Oryzias latipes: one gene and its partners. The protein of the gene in region 1 purifies or fractionates together with the protein of each later gene. This does not show direct contact. Links are inferred from orthologs where the notes say so. Each region holds a gene or a part of one and is shown in the gene's direction. Other genes may lie near its edges.

Region 1 (2,588 bases):
TCACTGCTGTCTAACCTTTTTCGGGCCACGGACCGCTTTTAATGAAGTAACAAATTTTTTTTCAAATGAAAATGCTGCTACAGGAAATTTAGTTAAAAAAAATCCAAAAACATTTAAAAAATGTAGAGACGACAAAGATTCAATAAAACAAAGTTGTAGAAGTTTGATTTGTAAGAAAATTCAATAAAAGCAACTTTACAGTTTTGTTCATAGAACACAATTACTATAACACTGAGAACTCAACACAGACTCAGTTCATCCTTCAGGGCAGAAGATTTGTCATATTTTGTTTTTACATAAATCCTGATTATCTGTATTTTAGTTTTTTACCACAGAGGAACATTTTCTGTTTCTGAACAGTGCCTGCCTTTATTCACCAATGGAAACTTCATAAATGTCCTTTTCACAAGTTTAAACAAATCAATCTTCATTCTCTGTATAATGTTTGCAGCTGGTTTAAACTTAAACTTGATGAAGATTTTAACTTTAACATCAAAGTGGATTCTAACAACCAGACGCTAGCTTTAGCCGCGTTTGACTTTAAAGGTGTGATGGATAAATGAAGCAAAATAAAATGACACCACTGTTTTCTAAATATAATCATAAACCTGAATCCACGTGTAATTGTTTGGTTTTCATTAGCTTTTTAACTTTGGGCTGCTAACTTTGCAGTCTGAGCAGCTGCTTAAAGTCACATGACGTGTCAGGACAGACAGATGTGGCGAACAGCATCCAGTCGTTCTGTCGGTATCGGAAAATAAACTAAATGGAAATAATTTAAGTTGGTGTGTGCATTTTTTCTGTCTTTGACCCGGTAAAGTATGCTAGACTCAAACTGATGTGATTTTGAACAAGCTTTATATCATCTTGTTTAGATGAATAGTAGCGCTGTGTTTTTATCATTTCTAGATTTCTGTCATGTTTACCTTTTTGTGTTCCTTTTGACACGGACAAAGGAGGCCAGATGGCTGCAGATCTGGACATGGAGGCTGCTGGTGGTGAGGGCTGGGGAGACGATGCTGAGCTTAACATGGATGAAGGTTTGTTCAGACCGAAACCAGCAATGTTTCCTCAGTCGTTCTATTTTAACCCCAAAAACATTCTTAAATTATGAAAAAACTTTCCATCTGTTTGCAGATGGTTTCATGGATGCTCCTGAAGGATTAGATGAGGGAATGGTCAAAGAGGAGGGTGGAGGCTGGGATATTGATGAAGAGGTGGAGCTTCCTCCTGAGCTGGTGAGCAGATGTGCATCATCATCTAGAAGAGCTAACATCAGACTGAAGAAGGAGTCATATTCCCACCTCTGTGACTTCATGTTAAACTGTTCACACAGCAAATTGGCCTCCTCTGTTTAGACACACAGCCCATTCGCTGCTGGACACAAAAATGTGTTCAGACACTAGACTGCATTTGGGAGAAACTCCTATCAGTATCCTCAATTCTCATTGACAGTATATTTTATTTACAATGCACGGAAGACATGGAGGATGTTTAGAGATCAGGTTTATCTATTATTTACTTATTATGCAGAGCTCTATAAAAGCGCCAGTAATCACGTCTCCATGTCTGGCTTTCTGATTGGTTTATGCAAAGTCTTAGGCAGTTATTTGAACTGGTTTTGCTGGCCGCTGCGCCGTAGAACCTCTGATCACATCTGTACATTGATTTTAACATTGAAAGTGGCCACGTGAATCGTCTCAGTATGAACGCAGATTTCACTCGTACTTTTTTGTTGAGCTTTTTTGTTTTGTTTTTTTATTTTCCCACCAACAGGATCTTCCGTCTGGAGCAGGTGGTGGAGTTGAGGACGGCTTCTTCGTTCCACCCACCAAAGGAATGGCTCCAACCCAGATGTGGTGCAACAACTCCCAGCTGCCTGTGGACCACATTTTGGCGGGCTCCTTTGAGACCGCCATGAGAGTACGATCACATCATTCATCATTTTTTATGACAGCTATGTAGAAAAAATGTCTGTTTTACATCTTACACACTAAATATCCTCCCTTCAACAGCTCCTCCACGACCAGGTTGGGGTTGTGAACTTCGACCCCTACAAGCCTTTGTTCATGCAGACTCTGTCCAGAGCCCGCACCTGTTACCTGGGGCTGCCATCGCTGCCCTGCCTGCGTGGTCATCCTCAGAGAAATTGGAAGGTGCAGATTTATCCTCATCCAAATTCTCCATGCAGCTTTTCAGAACCTAATGATAATAACAGGTCTGCATCACATCCGCTGCATTCCTGCAGGATTGTGGGGCAAAGCAAGGGTTGCCCGCCGTGGGACTCCGTCTGTCTGATCTCATCGCTCGCCTGCAGCAGTGCTACCAGCTGACCACTGCTGGGAGGTTTGAGGAGGCCGTGGAGCGCTTCAGAGCCATCCTTCTCTCTGTGCCGCTGCTGGTGGTTGATAACAAGCAGGAGATAACAGAGGTGACCCACACGCTGTGCTTAGTCTTCATGATTTCACAGATCTGAAGACATCTGTTGGGACAGGACATTTTTACATACAAACAAATCTCTAGATAATTGTAAACTTGTTCTGTTTTGACCATGTTTCAGGCTCAGCAGCTGATAACAATTTGCAAAG
Region 2 (3,519 bases), on another chromosome or scaffold:
GTTAATTTATCATAACATCTTTCGTTAGTTTTCAAACTGGCCTGTTAACGTTTTAGTAGTTTGTTTCCTCTTTGCCATTGAACCGTAATGCGACTCATCGCCAAAAAATAAAGGCATAGAATATTATTTTCTGGACCAGACATTGTCACTTATCATAATCAGTTTTGGAATGATACATGTTTGCTTCTTTCTGCTTCTTTGTCAATAATTATATTGACAAATATAATGGCTATCTTCCAATTCCCTCCCCACTCCCTAAAGAAAACGTATATAGTGCAGGACTACCGTATCTAGTGCCCTGTATTTTCAAAGCAATTCGGACACCATGCTCACTAGCTTTTTTATTTTTTGTTTTTTTTTAATGGCAAATATGACATCCCACATTGCACAAAGTCAAAATCTAATTAATACAAACATTTTATGACAACTGAGTCCACTGAGTTCTGAAGATGAAAATGTTGCACTTTGAGCTGTAATGCATGAAAGGAAATCTCGATTGATTTGTTTGATAAAAAAATGACCTTGAAACACATTTTGTAGTGCACTCATTCGGACATAGTCACTGACAAAACTAGATTGCTTTGAAATACATTTTTATCGTTTTTAATAACTGTCATTGGATTTCAAAAAGAAAAATAAGTCTGTCAAAATGACCGTTCACTTTTCTTTGAAATGGAAAACAACTGACTAAAATATGTTTCTACATTCTATGGAAAGAAAACTTTGAAAATCTATGAAGTATTTTCCTTAAGACTTTGTCAAACATTACGTTTTTTGTGTGTGTGTGTATGTGTGTGGATGTGAAATGATTCCAGGACTCAGCACTGGGGAAGCCAAAAGAGGTGTACCGCATCAGTGAGGAACCTGGTCTTTGTGAAGACCACCTGTGCTCCTCCCTCAGCCTCACCTCCTCCACCTGGGCTGCTCTTTCTGATGGTAGAGGCCACCTGTACCTTCTTCGCACCGGCAAGAGGGGAGATGGCTCGCATGTGAAGTGGGAAGTGAGTAAAGCTGCAGGATGTAGATAAAGATATGCCTTATTACCCCGTGATTCAGACCTGACTTTAATATGTTGGTTCTGGTTAATAAAACATTGTGAAGTCTTCTTAATGAGACTGAAATGGCTGCACTTGAATGCATCATCAGCACCTCATGTTAGGAAGAAAATGAGTGAATGGTTTCAAATGTTTATACACTTAACCACATTGTCACGCAGAATACGGACATACTTTTGGACTTGAATGCATCACTTTAAAGAGGAAAAATAATAATAATGCCTTAGGTCTACTGTTCAGACAACCAGAGCATTGACAGAGATTCCTAAATGATAAGAAGGTGGTGAGGGTGTGCTGCAATGACAGTCTTCTCCAGAATGACTCAAAATAAAGAACAAGTATTACAGTAAACAGTCCTGTTTTCTGTGTCCATCTGGAATTTTGCTTTAAAAGACTGAACTTTCTTTTCTGTCTTTGAAAGATATCTGGAGTACTAGTTGTCCAGGCTTTCAAGTTTTTTTCTATTCCTATTAGGATGTGTTCTTTTGTACCTGGCTATGTTCAGCGAAATTGAATGTTTTCCTGTTGAGTATCCAATCTTACAAAGAGCCTCATCTGAAATCCTACAAAGATGCTCAGATACAGAAAATCTGAAAGTGTCCATGAAAACATTTAAAGCCCATCAGAAAACCATGAGAACATTTGACAACACTTGGATGCACGCTGAGGGAGTGATAAAGAGCTGACGGATATCAAAATTAATGAAGATTTATTGAAAATGTTTGCATGAATTCATCTCCAGCAAAGAGATTTTGCTCTTTAACTACAGCTTGTTTGTCAAATCCACCCCTGAACGTGTTTCCACAGCCGCTGTTTGTTGAGGACACCGGCGAGCCTTTCACCATCCTCCACAGCGTCTCTCACGTCCAGGCTGGCGTTCATACTGTGGAGGTTCTGCTGCTCCGCATCCAGAAAGACTCACAGGAAGCCACAGGAAGTGGATATTATGTGTCACTTGAATGGATCACAGTCAGCAGCACTGCAGCACATGGTGGGTGATGCACTGATCTGAATGTCAAGTAAGATGTGAATGATGAATTTACCGTAGTTTTATTAGAAAACTTATTTCCGTATTCAGAATTAGATAAGATGTGATTTCAAAGAATCAGATGATATTAGAACTGTTTGGAGCAAATATCAGCAGTCTCAATAAGATTCTTGACATTTGATGAAATGGAAGAAGTTATTTCTTCATTCAGTTGGTGGAACATTTGTCCCACTCATAGAGACAGCAACAAACTCAATCCAATGAAAGTAAAAGGACCCTCATTTTAAGAAAAAATGTTTTACAAGAAAAGTAACCTTATCAAGATAGTTTTTCAATAGCAAAATAATCTTGGTTTGAGAAAACAAGCCTTAGTCACTAGAATTCTTTTTATCAAAATAAGAATTCTCGATAGAACGAGGTTTCTACTTTTTTGGTTTTTAAATAATCTGCCAATTGGGTGAGAATTTTTGATTTATTTCTTGAAGCCTTCTTTCCGATTTAAAAACAAAAGTCTAAATGTTAACATTCTTAGTTCACAATTTAATCACGTCAAACAGCAAATCACAAAAAAGTCCTAGCAGTACATAGTTTTAACCTTGATTGACATTTGTTTTTTTTTTTACCTTTACCTTTACCTTGATGCAATTTTTGTTCTTAACATGATTTTTTAACAAAGTCCTGGTTGTCCATACTAAAATATATCCAGTTCAGTCTCAAAGCAAATGCTTTCTGCAAAACACAATCCTGCAATTAAATTATGAATTTATTAAGGTAAAAAACGCAGCAGCTGCTTTTTCATTTCTATACAGAATTTTTCATTGACCTAAAGATGCAGCCCATGAATTTCTGTGTGCTGCATCTTCAAATTTGTATTTGTTTTCGTTAAGAAAATTAACTGCATCTTAAAAAATTCCTTTTTATTATGTTTTTGGAAATATACCATTTATATATAAATACTTTTTCAAATTAGAAGATGGTAAAATCCAGTTTTCTTCAGGACTTCTAATGAGATTTGCAGCAATCAGTCAGTTAGCTTCTTTGCAGCTTTGGAAGCACAGCAGATGGAAGGAGTTTTAACATTTTACATCCAAGTCTCCATTATTTTGATGTTTAATCTAAATAAAAGCTGCAACTTGCTCATGTCAAGAGCAGAAAATGATTCTCGATCAATATTTAGTTTGACTTTCTCCTAATGCGTTTCTGGCTTACTTAAACGGAAGGTGAGATTGCTTTGTCACAGCATTCTTTGGTTTCCAAACGCAGGTCAGGAGAAAAAATACGAGGTGAGCAAGAGAAGGCTCCTGCGGGGGAAGTCCGTGCCTCACTATGCTGCTGTGGAGCCTCAAGGGAAGGGCCTAATGGTGGCTTCAGAGAAGCCATTTGTCTTCACGCATGTGGACGGTCGTCCCGTAGAGCTGCCCGAGCCGCAGGCCATGGAGGCCGACAAGATAGGTGGGTTTAAGGGACCGATTCGGG
Region 3 (3,970 bases), on another chromosome or scaffold:
AAGGATCAGCTTTGAGTCCTTTTTTGTTTGCTATGCTGATGGACAGGCTGACAGACGAGGTAAGACAGGAATCTCCCTGGACAATGATGTTTGCGGATGACATTGTAATTTGCAGTGAGAGTAGAGAGCAGGTGGAGGAACAGCTAGAGAGGTGGAGGTTTGCTCTGGAAAGAAGAGGTATGAAGGTCAGTCGTAGTAAGACAGAATACATGTGTCTGAACGAGAGGGATCAAGGTAGAAGCGTTAGGTTACAGGGGACTGAGGTGAAGAAGGTGCAGGAGTTTAAGTACTTGGGGTCAACAGTTCAGTGTGATGGGGATTGTGGAAAAGAGGTGAAGAGGCGAGTGCAGGCAGGTTGGAGCGGTTGGAGGAAAGTGTCAGGAGTGTTGTGTGACAGAAGAGTGCCAGCAAGACTCAAAGGAAAGGTGTACAAGACAGTGGTGAGACCAGCTCTGCTCTATGGGTTAGAGACGGTAGCAGTGAGACAGAGACAAGAGGCTGAGATGGAGGTAGCAGAGATGAAGATGTTGAGGTTCTCCTTAGGAGTGACCAGGTTAGACAGGATAAGGAACGAGTACATCAGAGGGACGGCTCATGTTGCCTGTGTTAGCGACAAAGTCAGAGAAGCCAGACTGAGATGGTTTGGACATGTTCAGAGGAGGGATAGTGGATATATTGGTAGAAGGATGTTGGAGATGGAGCTGCCTGGCCGGAGGGCAAGAGGACGGCCAAAGAGGAGATATATGGATGTCTTAACAGAGGACATGAAGTTGGCTAACGTTAGGGTAGAAGATGTTCATGATAGAGTGAGGTGGAAAAGGATGATTCGCTGTGGCGACCCCTGATGGGAAAAGCCGAAAGAGAAAGAAGAATAGTAACAAAAAGAGCCAATGATTGAACCAAATCACCTCTTTTGTAATGAGAAAATATTATTATTGTGGTCTACTTCTGCAGGTATCATAAAGAAAGTACCTTAATGATGAAACGGGGCTCATGTTACACATTTCAATTCTGAAAATTGTCATGTGTATGTAATTTGTAAAGTAGAACAGTTTGGATGTAAATTCACAGCACTGGTCGGAGGTTCCTGATGGGGCTCGTGCCGTTGTTCCCTCTCACTTCTTAGTGAGTAGTGGGTGCGACGCAAAACGCTCGCGGCACGCGTCTAAAACCGGATCAATCTATGGAGAAACTGGGCGCTCGAGCGTTTCCACTCGACAGCTCCAGGTTTTGGTGTCCGCGTGACACGTCACTGTTTTCCACGCAAGCTGATCAGGGCCGCGCGCTCCTTCCGGTGGAGACGTGGCTCTGCGGCGGCCATATTGACGCTAGCAGTCCGTGGAAGCCGCGCGCGTTGTCAGAGACTACAGTCCCTGGACCAAACTCAGAACCGGAACCACGAGAAACGGACTCCAGCGGAATCCCGAAGACAGACCACAATGGTAGGTGTCTGTCCAGAACCGGACCCCCCCTGCTCCAGTACGCGTCGGGCCTGCAACTAGCATAACATTGGCTAGCAGCTAGCTGCTGCGCTTCGGAACGGAACTAAAGTCAGGAGACGCAACTGTCCTCTGGTTTGGTTAAGTTTGGGTCCAGCACAGACTAATAGTGCAGTTGGACACGTTGTCCATTTAATTAGCTAGTACAGATAGCGAGGCTAGTGTTGTCAAGCCGGACTGGACCGACCGAACTTGGTTGATGACGGGTCGTGTTCGGCCCGGGAGTAATTCTGTTCTGTGTTGGCTGTGAATGTCATTAAAGTTCTGTTAGTGTGACCCTAGCTGCTGTTTGTCAGTACCAGAGTTCGTATAAGATTTTAGAAGAACAAGAACAGTTCGGTCCTGCTCTGTGTGGCAGCTGCCAAAGACACACAACAGTGTCATGATTTGGCACACCGTCCATGTTCGAGGTTCCGAAGGGTCCAGTGGGGAACTAATGGCTCCTGTCATCAGGTCAGAGTTCTGAGGTTTGAAGATCTGGAGTTTTCTGTGATTCACCCAAAATATGCCCCAATTCATCTGGGAAGCATTCCAGACGCTAAGGTTTGTGGGTAAATGAATCGCATGAACTGGAGTGCACTCTGGGTACGTTCATTTATTTATTTGAGGTAAAACGTCAATATTTTTTTCATAAACGTCAATAATACCGCATAAACAATTTAAGTTGAATTTATTTGTAAATATAAACGACTCAGAACACAGCAGTAAACAAGACTAAATACTTCATAATGAGCATGAGAAAAACAACATGCACTCTGTCTATCAGAAGTGTACAGCTCGGTTTCACCTAGAGGTTCTGTCAACTGGCACCTGGTGATCACCTTGTGGTCGCCGTGGTGACCATTAGGCCTGTTAACTTGTTTCCCCGAATGTCCCTTGTCTGCCTAAGCTGAAGTGAAAATATGACAGACTAAAAATGAGGATGTTGCCAAACTAAATGTCTCTCCGATGGAAGGGAGTCATTCACAAATGAATGAAACTACATGTTCATTCATTCCAACCCCATTATTTTCAAAGACCCACTCCAATGGAAATTGTATTTGTGGTGTCATTAACTTGTTCTTGTAGCACTTATAATGAAGGACATGTATCAAGAAAACTAAGCTGAAAATTTCATTTCTGAGTAATTCTTTATTCAAATCGTTGTGAATCAGAATGGGGGGGGGGGGGGGGGTGTGATGATGTGTTACATACAAACTACAATCATTAGGCCACAGGCTCCCTGCTCCAGTCCAGTCTGATGCATCCACCTGGGATCTGGATCCAAACTGAAGGGCTGGATGCCGTCGAATTAAAAACATTTTCTTTTTTTCTCTACCAAACAAATGCAACCACAAGAAGGCACAGTCCAGTGCTTTCATGTGCCTGTCAAAGGTGTGTCAGGAAGGGCATCTGGCATAAAACCAAAGCAAAATCAAATATGAGAATCTCAATCAAATTTTCCTTTTGTGTGGTTTAATTAACTCTTTAACACTGGAGCTTTAGCTTTAGTGTTGACATTCTTTCGACTACGGTAACTCTTCAACAGTTGATGCAATTAACGTAATTCCAGTGGATTCTGCAGCGGAGAAAAGCATCTTTATCTTGACATCCAACACTTACAGTAGTGATATGCTTGCCCAATCAACAAGTCACCCAATCAACACTTCTGTCATGCAGTAAAGCAGCTTTGCACCCAGATTGATGCAAAGCTGGTCTTCTCTGCTTCAGAATCAGCTGATTAACTGATCGCCAAACATCAAAGATTTACCATCAAAAAGAGAGAATTGTTTAGACGTCACTGGAGACATCTCTGGTGTTAATGACTTGTTACTGGTACTGTTGACCTAAAGCGGGGGTGTCAAACTCATTTTCACCGAGGGCCTCATCAGTATAGAGGCTGTCCTCAAAGGGCCAGATAAAACTTATACATGTAACTAAAAATAAACGTAACTGCTCCTTGATGTTAAATAACTCATTTATTTATTTGTTTTAACTTTTTGAAGTGACCATTACAGTTGCATAGAAAACATGTTTGCTTGTTACTCTAGCATAAATCCTTTGAAATGTTGTCCTCTTATTAAAACCCACGATCAAACTGTCCACGTGAATAAATAACATCAAACTGAGCTAGAAAGAACACGTATGACACGTGTAACATTTTACAATAAAAGGCTGCACACAGCCGTGCATCCAACTGATGGTTTGATGACAACAATTTGTCTGCATACACACATAAGACCTGCAAACATTGAATAATGACAACTGCAGCTACACATTAATAATATGTAATCAACTAAAAAAAATATTATAAGAGATTAAAAACGTTTATGCTGTGGCAGGCCACATAAAATATGGCGGGCCACATTTGGCCCCCGGGCCTTGAGTTTGACACATGTGACCTAGAGGGTTCATGTGCACTAATGCTGGTCAAAGGAGGAGAGGAAGGAGGTGTGGCAAAACTGGTACCTTGCTTTTTCTCTCTTTGGCAA
Region 4 (2,955 bases), on another chromosome or scaffold:
GGCAAGTCGTCCCTGCCCAAGAAGCCAATCACAGACGACGATGTGGACCGCATCTCGCTTTGCCTGAAGGTTCTGTCAGAGTGTTCGCCGCTCATGAATGACATTTTCAACAAGGAGTGCCGCAAATCCCTGTCACACATGCTGGCTGTCAGATTGGAGGAAGAGAAGCTGTCACAGAAGGTAAACAGTCCACTCAGTCCTCACCTCTCTGTTCAGAAAAATCATTACTGACACAAAACAGAGCAAACATCTGGACTTTACAGCTGGATAATGAGCAGGTAATAAAGTTCAGTACATTTGTGGCCTTGTTTCTAGTCTTTAGATGTGTAACATATAACTCAATTGAATTGATAACTTCAGAGAAAAGAAGGCTCATATTTTGTGGTTTTTCTTTCTCTTTTTGCCACAGAAAGAGTCAGAGAAACGGAATGTGACGGTTCAGGCAGACGATCCAATCTCCTTCATGCAGCTCACAGCCAAAAATGAGATGTGCTCCAAGGAGGATCAGTTTCAGCTCAGCCTGCTGGCTGCTATGGGGAACACTCAGAGAAAAGAAGCTGCTGACCCTCTGGCATCAAAACTCAACAAGGTGCACTGCAGAAAAATCCCAAAGTACAAAGTTTACTTTGTGATCATCCCAGTTTTAGTGCTTTTTTAAAATTTATATTTTAATTTTGAAATCTTTTATGCATTAAACTTGGTAGGTAACGATGTTTAGTCAAAACAGATAAACACAATAAACTCAGTTTTGGCTTGTGATGTGGATGTCAAATAAGTTTAAATTGTTTCTACAGAAGTTCTTTCTGGTGGAAGAAGGAAATCCTGCCAGAAAATGAATGCTAGAACAAACACATCATCTTTAAACATTTATATTTGATTCGATCTTCATGTAAGTAATGTTTTTTTTTTTTTAAATCCACATTAGGTGACCCAGCTGACCGGCTTCTCTGACCCAGTGTATGCTGAAGCTTATGTCCATGTCAACCAGTATGACATTGTTCTGGATGTGCTGGTGGTCAACCAGACTAGTGATACTCTTCAGAACTGCACCCTGGAACTGGCCACTTTAGGTTAGCTCTTTCTACTTTCTGCTTCACTGAGCTAATGCTTCTCAGTTTTTATAGCATCTCTAACTGGCTTGTGCGCCTTAAATGAGCTTTTCTTCTCTGCAGGGGATCTCAAGTTGGTGGAAAAACCTTCACCTTTAACTCTGGCTCCTCACGATTTTGCAAACATCAAGGCTAATGTCAAAGTGGCCTCTACAGAGAACGGCATCATTTTTGGCAACATTGGTGAGATTTTTTTTCTTCTTTTTTTTCCGCTTTCCTGCCCTTTCTGTTATCTAATCTAATGCCTTTGTTCCCTGCTTTACAGTCTATGACGTATCTGGAGCTGCCAGCGACAGAAACTGTGTGGTTCTCAGCGACATCCACATCGACATCATGGACTACATCCAGCCGGCATCCTGCACCGATGCAGAGTTCAGACAGATGTGGGCAGAGTTTGAGTGGGAAAACAAGGTTGTTGTTTGTTTATTTACGACAGGGACCGCATATATTGATTTATCAATTGAGAGAACGTTGTTTACATTCAAAAACCTCTGGAAATTGATGGAATATGTGTGGATCTTTAATCATCTCAGGTGACCGTGAACACCAACATTGTTGATCTGAACGAGTACCTCCAGCACATCCTCAAGTCCACAAACATGAAGTGTTTGACCCCTGAAAAGGTTGGCATTGTTTGTTTGTTTCAGAATTTATCATATAAAGTAGTCAGAGAGTTATTGTTTTTTCAGTTTATATGACAGGATTAATCTTGTTCTTCATTTCCCCTGTAAAACCCAGGCGCTCTCTGGCTTCTGCGGCTTCATGGCTGCTAACCTTTATGCTCGCTCCATCTTTGGAGAAGATGCTCTGGCTAACGTCAGCATCGAGAAGCCCATCCACCTCGGGCCGGAGGCGCCGGTCACCGGACACATTCGCATCCGAGCCAAAAGTCAGGTGGGTCGCAGCTGTTGCAGCGCTAAAGTAAACCACTTCTCAAAAGCACGTTGATGTATTCACCTAGATAAGCGATGAAGTGAAACTTCAAAAACCATCGTATTTGTTGTGGTTTTATTGACATGTTACGGTTTGCTTTAATGCATCTTTCTTGGTTCCACAGGGGATGGCTCTGAGCCTGGGTGACAAGATCAATCTCTCTCAAAAGAAGGCAAACCTCTAAAACAGCTTGTGTTCTCTTGTGTCAGTCATCTTAGTCTTTTCATTTGTGCAGATTAGTAAATCACTATGGTCAGCCACTTCTGCTTTCTTTCTTTTTTTTCCTCTAATCTCCTCCCATTGACAGCTGCACCTCTGTTTTCTTTTCTTTTTTTTTTTTGCTTTGTCCTGTATGATTTTCAATAAACATGTATATTACAGTAAATTTTGCTCCTTTATTAAAAGTTTGTACGAACATTCTACTGAAAAGTTGCATTTTATCTTTAATGCAGGGTTTTAGTAATTTAGCCAAAAGGTGGTTTTGGCCTTTAGAAGCAGAGGGACTCTGCATCCGCCCCTTATCTTCCGGCACTAATTAGAATTCCTCACATTCCTCCTGTGATATCTTGCAGTGAAACTGACTGGAATATTTTTTATTTTTTTGAGTCTGCAGTCTAAACCAACTAAAGCAGACACTTTTCTTTTAAACAAAGTCAAAATATTTTCCATAGTTTACTGTTGCTGAGATAGCGACGGCTTTCTGTGGGCACGGGTGTGAATGTTCCACTTGCTCTATTTATAATTTATGAGAAAAGGGACATTTCTGGGAGTCAGCCAAGCTGAAGGGTCACAACCCCAGTCATACATTTACAATATCTGGGAAATCTGTCCCTCCAGGGGGGATAGATAGAGGTTGAAGTGTTGCTTACAGGTCAGACCTTAAACCGTAAAAATAAACAGCTGTCTTGCAGTT
Region 5 (4,088 bases), on another chromosome or scaffold:
GGACTTGCCTTACTCGTTGGAGGTATTTAGCTGTTGCAGCTTTCCTTGTTGCCTGCACCAGGTTGCCATTTGCCTGCGGAATTCCAAGGTACTTGTAGCTGTCCTCAATGTCTGCCATTGTTCCTTCTGGGAGTGAGACCCCTATGTGTGGACTACCTTGCCTCTCTTTGTCACCATCCGGCTGCATTTTTTCAAGCCCGAATGACATCCCAATGTCAGTACTGTACATCCTGGTGGTGTAGATCAGGGAGTCAATGTCACACTCACTCTTAGTATATGGCTTTAAGTCATCCATGAGGAGGTGACTGATGTTGGCCCCATTTCTGAGTCAGTATCCATAGCCAGTCTTGTTGATTATTTGGCTGAGGGGTTCAGCCAAATAATCAACGTCTATCTCTATCTACTCTCTCGAAATGGACTAGATATATATGGACAAGCAGTAGTGGTGCATAGGGGTAAAGATAAACAACATTTATGAGAGAACAAACTATTTTATACTTTAAAATACAATAAAACTAGTATAATATCTTTGTAATGGCAAGGTACATTTTTAATATCAGTTATCATGATAGCCCGACCCAATAGGAAAATAACAGCATACACATAATGCATGCTTTTTTAAAAGAAATTCTAGACACTATTTGAGGTCTTGTGTTGCTAGAAAAAAAAATCAAGCAAGGTAAACTGTCCCCTTCATTTTTTTTTAACTTAAATGTTTCAAGATCTGAAAATTCCAGAATTAGCATATTAGGTATTATACCCCCCCCCATTCCATAAATCTAAAAGTCAATGTAAATAATGAATGAATGAATGAATGCTATTACTACTTTAGTACAGTGCTTTTAGGCTTTTTGTCTAGAGTTCAATTTACTTTTATAAATTGCCAACCAATGGCTTTCTAGTCTCATAAAAGTGTGTTAAAAAAGGAGAAGAAAAAAACGAAAGGCAACCCCCCCCCCCCCCCCAAAAAAAAAATAAGCTTTAGGAAATAGTTTGAAAGATTTTGACATCATTAGTTGCTCATCTTTTATTTGCCATTTGAAAGTGGCTATTTTCTTTGCTAATATAGATTTAAATTTAAGGTTTGCTGGATAATGGTAAACAAATCACTCGGATAACAAAACAAAAAACATTGTGGTTCAGATGTGATCGAACCTGTGCTATTAATTTTATGTACTTAAAATAACAAATCATAATTGATCAATTGCTGGCTTAAGGAAAATGCAAAGTCAATGTTGTAAATAATTTCTGTAAAGACCCCGAGTGGAATTGAACTTTGCGTTTGCGCGTGACGTAAAATTCCTCAACTCTACGTATTACGTAAGTTAGAGCTGTGCTAGCCTGCTGTTAGCTGGTGAAGATGGATTCTCCCATACTGGTACGACTGTGTTTAAGTTTCCTCTTCAAATATAGTGTCGTTTAAAAAAATGAAAGACTATTATCCACAGAGAACTATTTATTGAAAGGCGGGTAAGGGTGTGGTTTACTGTACAGCGTTATCCGGTCGTCTAACTACCGTAAGAGTTGGCTAACGAGCTAGCTAGACCCTGCAAAGTTAGCCTTATGTGCCACTTTCTTTTCTGATGATGTGGAAGTGTCCCGTCTTCCTGGTCACACTGGCTAAAAATGAAGCACTACTTCGAATATTGTTTTCCACTATTTTGTGATCGTTACAGTTAGTCCCATTTGTCACAATGTTTGTTCTGCCATTCTGTTAGACATTTTTCGTCGTTCGCGTCCCGATTCGATTGTAGCATATGTTAACTTAATGTTTATATAAATTGAATGAACATAAAACGTAGGTGATTCTTGTTGTCATTCCAGGAACCATCCTTGTATACAGTCAAAGCGGTTCTCATTCTGGATAATGACGGAGAAAGACTTTATGCCAAGGTGTGTGTTTATTTATTTATCTGTTAAATAAAAGATTATGTCATATAATACATGACATAAAAACAAAGATAGTTTGTGTTTGTAGGTCAGTTATCCAAATGCTAGATCAATGAAAAACAAGAGATGAAGTGTGGGTAGTTGGAAACATGATGCTGGAAACACTGAATAAACCTTAGACCACCTGAAGAGGCATCTTAATTAGTCAGAATTCACTCAAATGTCCTTTATTATGTGAGGTATTTATATTAAAAGTTGTTTTTCCTTGAAAAAATATGTTTCATTGTCAATTTTAATAAACCGTGTAATTGTCAATTAGTAACATTCAAAGTGCATTTCCTATAAAGTTGTCTTCAAATAATCAGGAAAACATATGCCTTCCTAAATACTAAATATATTTAAGCTGTACTATAAGTTGTTTAATGCATTTGCAAGTTCAAGTCAATCCAAATTGCTAAATTAGTAGCTTAGCTTAGTGGGGAAACGGCATTTTCTGATCAGGTTTTACCATTGCCCACGTCTTTTAATTATTTTACTTATATATGTAGAAATTTATTGATTACTATCTAGTCATTAATATGGTTTGATCGGATACAATAAATTGTGTATTTATTAAAAACCTACATTTTGTTTACTGATGTAGAGATAGTTTTTTTTCAGAATCTTTTGTAATGCGATTGTATTTTCAGTATTACGATGACACGTATCCAACGGTGAAGGAACAGAAAGCGTTTGAGAAAAACATATTCAACAAGACGCACAGGACGGACAGTACGTGATGTTTTACAATCAGTAAATAAAGACTTAGCATGATGCTGTTTAAACACAAAAAGTTTATTTTGTTTTTCTTTTCTGTCCACTCAGGTGAAATAGCTTTGCTGGAGGGCCTGACTGTTGTGTACAAGAGCAATATAGACCTCTTCTTTTATGTGATCGGGAGTTCACATGAAAATGAGGTAATTGTTTTAGTTGACATTAAAACATAAAATTGACATTTAATGATTTTTAAATATTATAATAATACAGCTTCATATTCAAATACGTTTTAAGAAACCAACCTAAGTGTGAATACATATTTCATTTACACTGGTAAATGTGTTTTCTACTGTGATCAATACTGCTGATTTTTTGTTATTTCAAGCTTTTGTTTTTAAAATATTATTTTGGGTAGATTTTAATATGACACATTTTTAGAACGTGGATTTCTGCCGTTTCTTAAGCTCGTCTACTTGGAACTAAACTAGTTCTCCAAATTCACAAGTTCAAACTTAGTTTATGTTTTTAATGTTTACTTTTCATACGTTGTCTTTGTTTCAGCTTTTTATCTTGAACGTTTTAAATATGTCTTTGTGTTTCATTTCAACAGCTGATGCTTATGGCTGTTTTAAATTGCCTCTTCGATTCCTTGAGTCAGATGTTGAGGTATGCATTTGTCTGCAAATATTTATAGCACCTTAAATGGTTTAAAAACGTTTCTAATATTCAAAGAGTTTCAGCTCTAAGTTTATTTCTTCATAACTTTTTAGGAAAAATGTTGAAAAGAGAGCCTTGCTGGAGAATATGGAAGGACTCTTCTTGGCTGTGGATGAGATCGTAGACGGAGGGTAAGAAATGAGAAGCATAAAGCGTCTTGAAATGTGTTCTTTAGGGGAAAAAAAAATCATACGTTACTGTGTCTTCATTTTGTTTCGTAATCGTTACTATGACTCCTCACTTTCAGAGTAATCTTGGAGAGTGACCCACAGCAGGTTGTGCATCGTGTAGCCCTCAGAGTAAGCTCCGCTCCGCTCCTCTTCTCTAAAATATCTCCATTTGATTGGACAGTAAATGTGCGAGCTGTAAATACAATGCATTTGTTCTTGCAGGGAGATGATGTACCTTTGACAGAGCAGACAGTCACCCAGGTGAGGACAACATCCCTACTTTACCCCTCACTCTGCTGTGGAGTTTAAAGATCTATTGAGTGTTTAAAGTCATTACTTTGAAGTTTGAATATACAAGGGTACTGTTATTGTCATTTTCTTTTTCTGTATGATTACTTGCCTCCAGGCTGACATATTTTGTATCGTCACATATGCATAAGTGTGCAAATGATCACTGATTATTCAGTGGTAAGGTGGTAGCTAGCCAATAATGGCTTCTGCCATTTAGTGTCTAGATGAGTCTGTGTGTGTGTGGGTGTGTGTGTGTGTGTGTGT

The links.
Region 2: the proteins of copa (region 1) and nudcd1 purify together in Homo sapiens (co-immunoprecipitation; 3 studies listed by BioGRID and IntAct, with this or other methods). This does not show direct contact. The link is inferred for Oryzias latipes from reciprocal best matches to the Homo sapiens genes COPA and NUDCD1.
Region 3: the proteins of copa (region 1) and arcn1 fractionate together in Homo sapiens (co-fractionation; 4 studies listed by BioGRID and IntAct, with this or other methods). This does not show direct contact. The link is inferred for Oryzias latipes from reciprocal best matches to the Homo sapiens genes COPA and ARCN1.
Region 4: the proteins of copa (region 1) and copb1 fractionate together in Homo sapiens (co-fractionation; 6 studies listed by BioGRID and IntAct, with this or other methods). This does not show direct contact. The link is inferred for Oryzias latipes from reciprocal best matches to the Homo sapiens genes COPA and COPB1.
Region 5: the proteins of copa (region 1) and copz1 fractionate together in Homo sapiens (co-fractionation; 6 studies listed by BioGRID and IntAct, with this or other methods). This does not show direct contact. The link is inferred for Oryzias latipes from reciprocal best matches to the Homo sapiens genes COPA and COPZ1.

What each region holds. Positions count from the first base shown.
Region 1 is NC_019875.2:3,225,401-3,227,988, reverse strand, and holds part of copa (coatomer subunit alpha), read left to right. Parts: intron 1-956; coding exon 957-1,040; intron 1,041-1,137; coding exon 1,138-1,238; intron 1,239-1,776; coding exon 1,777-1,923; intron 1,924-2,015; coding exon 2,016-2,156; intron 2,157-2,248; coding exon 2,249-2,431; intron 2,432-2,560; coding exon 2,561-2,588. UniProt on the Homo sapiens protein: The coatomer is a cytosolic protein complex that binds to dilysine motifs and reversibly associates with Golgi non-clathrin-coated vesicles, which further mediate biosynthetic protein transport from the ER, via the Golgi up to the trans Golgi network.
Region 2 is NC_019869.2:17,455,684-17,459,202, forward strand, and holds part of nudcd1 (nudC domain-containing protein 1), read left to right. Parts: intron 1-815; coding exon 816-1,001; intron 1,002-1,862; coding exon 1,863-2,046; intron 2,047-3,306; coding exon 3,307-3,495; intron 3,496-3,519.
Region 3 is NC_019871.2:31,556,505-31,560,474, reverse strand, and holds the start of arcn1 (coatomer subunit delta), read left to right. Parts: upstream 1-1,169; 5' UTR 1,170-1,439; coding exon 1,440-1,442; intron 1,443-3,970. UniProt on the Homo sapiens protein: Component of the coatomer, a cytosolic protein complex that binds to dilysine motifs and reversibly associates with Golgi non-clathrin-coated vesicles, which further mediate biosynthetic protein transport from the ER, via the Golgi up to the trans Golgi network.
Region 4 is NC_019861.2:19,372,484-19,375,438, forward strand, and holds the end of copb1 (coatomer subunit beta), read left to right. Parts: coding exon 1-180; intron 181-409; coding exon 410-589; intron 590-925; coding exon 926-1,070; intron 1,071-1,172; coding exon 1,173-1,292; intron 1,293-1,374; coding exon 1,375-1,520; intron 1,521-1,642; coding exon 1,643-1,732; intron 1,733-1,847; coding exon 1,848-2,003; intron 2,004-2,166; coding exon 2,167-2,226; 3' UTR 2,227-2,455; downstream 2,456-2,955. UniProt on the Homo sapiens protein: The coatomer is a cytosolic protein complex that binds to dilysine motifs and reversibly associates with Golgi non-clathrin-coated vesicles, which further mediate biosynthetic protein transport from the ER, via the Golgi up to the trans Golgi network.
Region 5 is NC_019865.2:12,850,749-12,854,836, forward strand, and holds the start of copz1 (coatomer subunit zeta-1), read left to right. Parts: upstream 1-1,280; 5' UTR 1,281-1,360; coding exon 1,361-1,378; intron 1,379-1,824; coding exon 1,825-1,893; intron 1,894-2,579; coding exon 2,580-2,661; intron 2,662-2,754; coding exon 2,755-2,846; intron 2,847-3,256; coding exon 3,257-3,312; intron 3,313-3,416; coding exon 3,417-3,494; intron 3,495-3,610; coding exon 3,611-3,662; intron 3,663-3,755; coding exon 3,756-3,794; intron 3,795-4,088. UniProt on the Homo sapiens protein: The coatomer is a cytosolic protein complex that binds to dilysine motifs and reversibly associates with Golgi non-clathrin-coated vesicles, which further mediate biosynthetic protein transport from the ER, via the Golgi up to the trans Golgi network.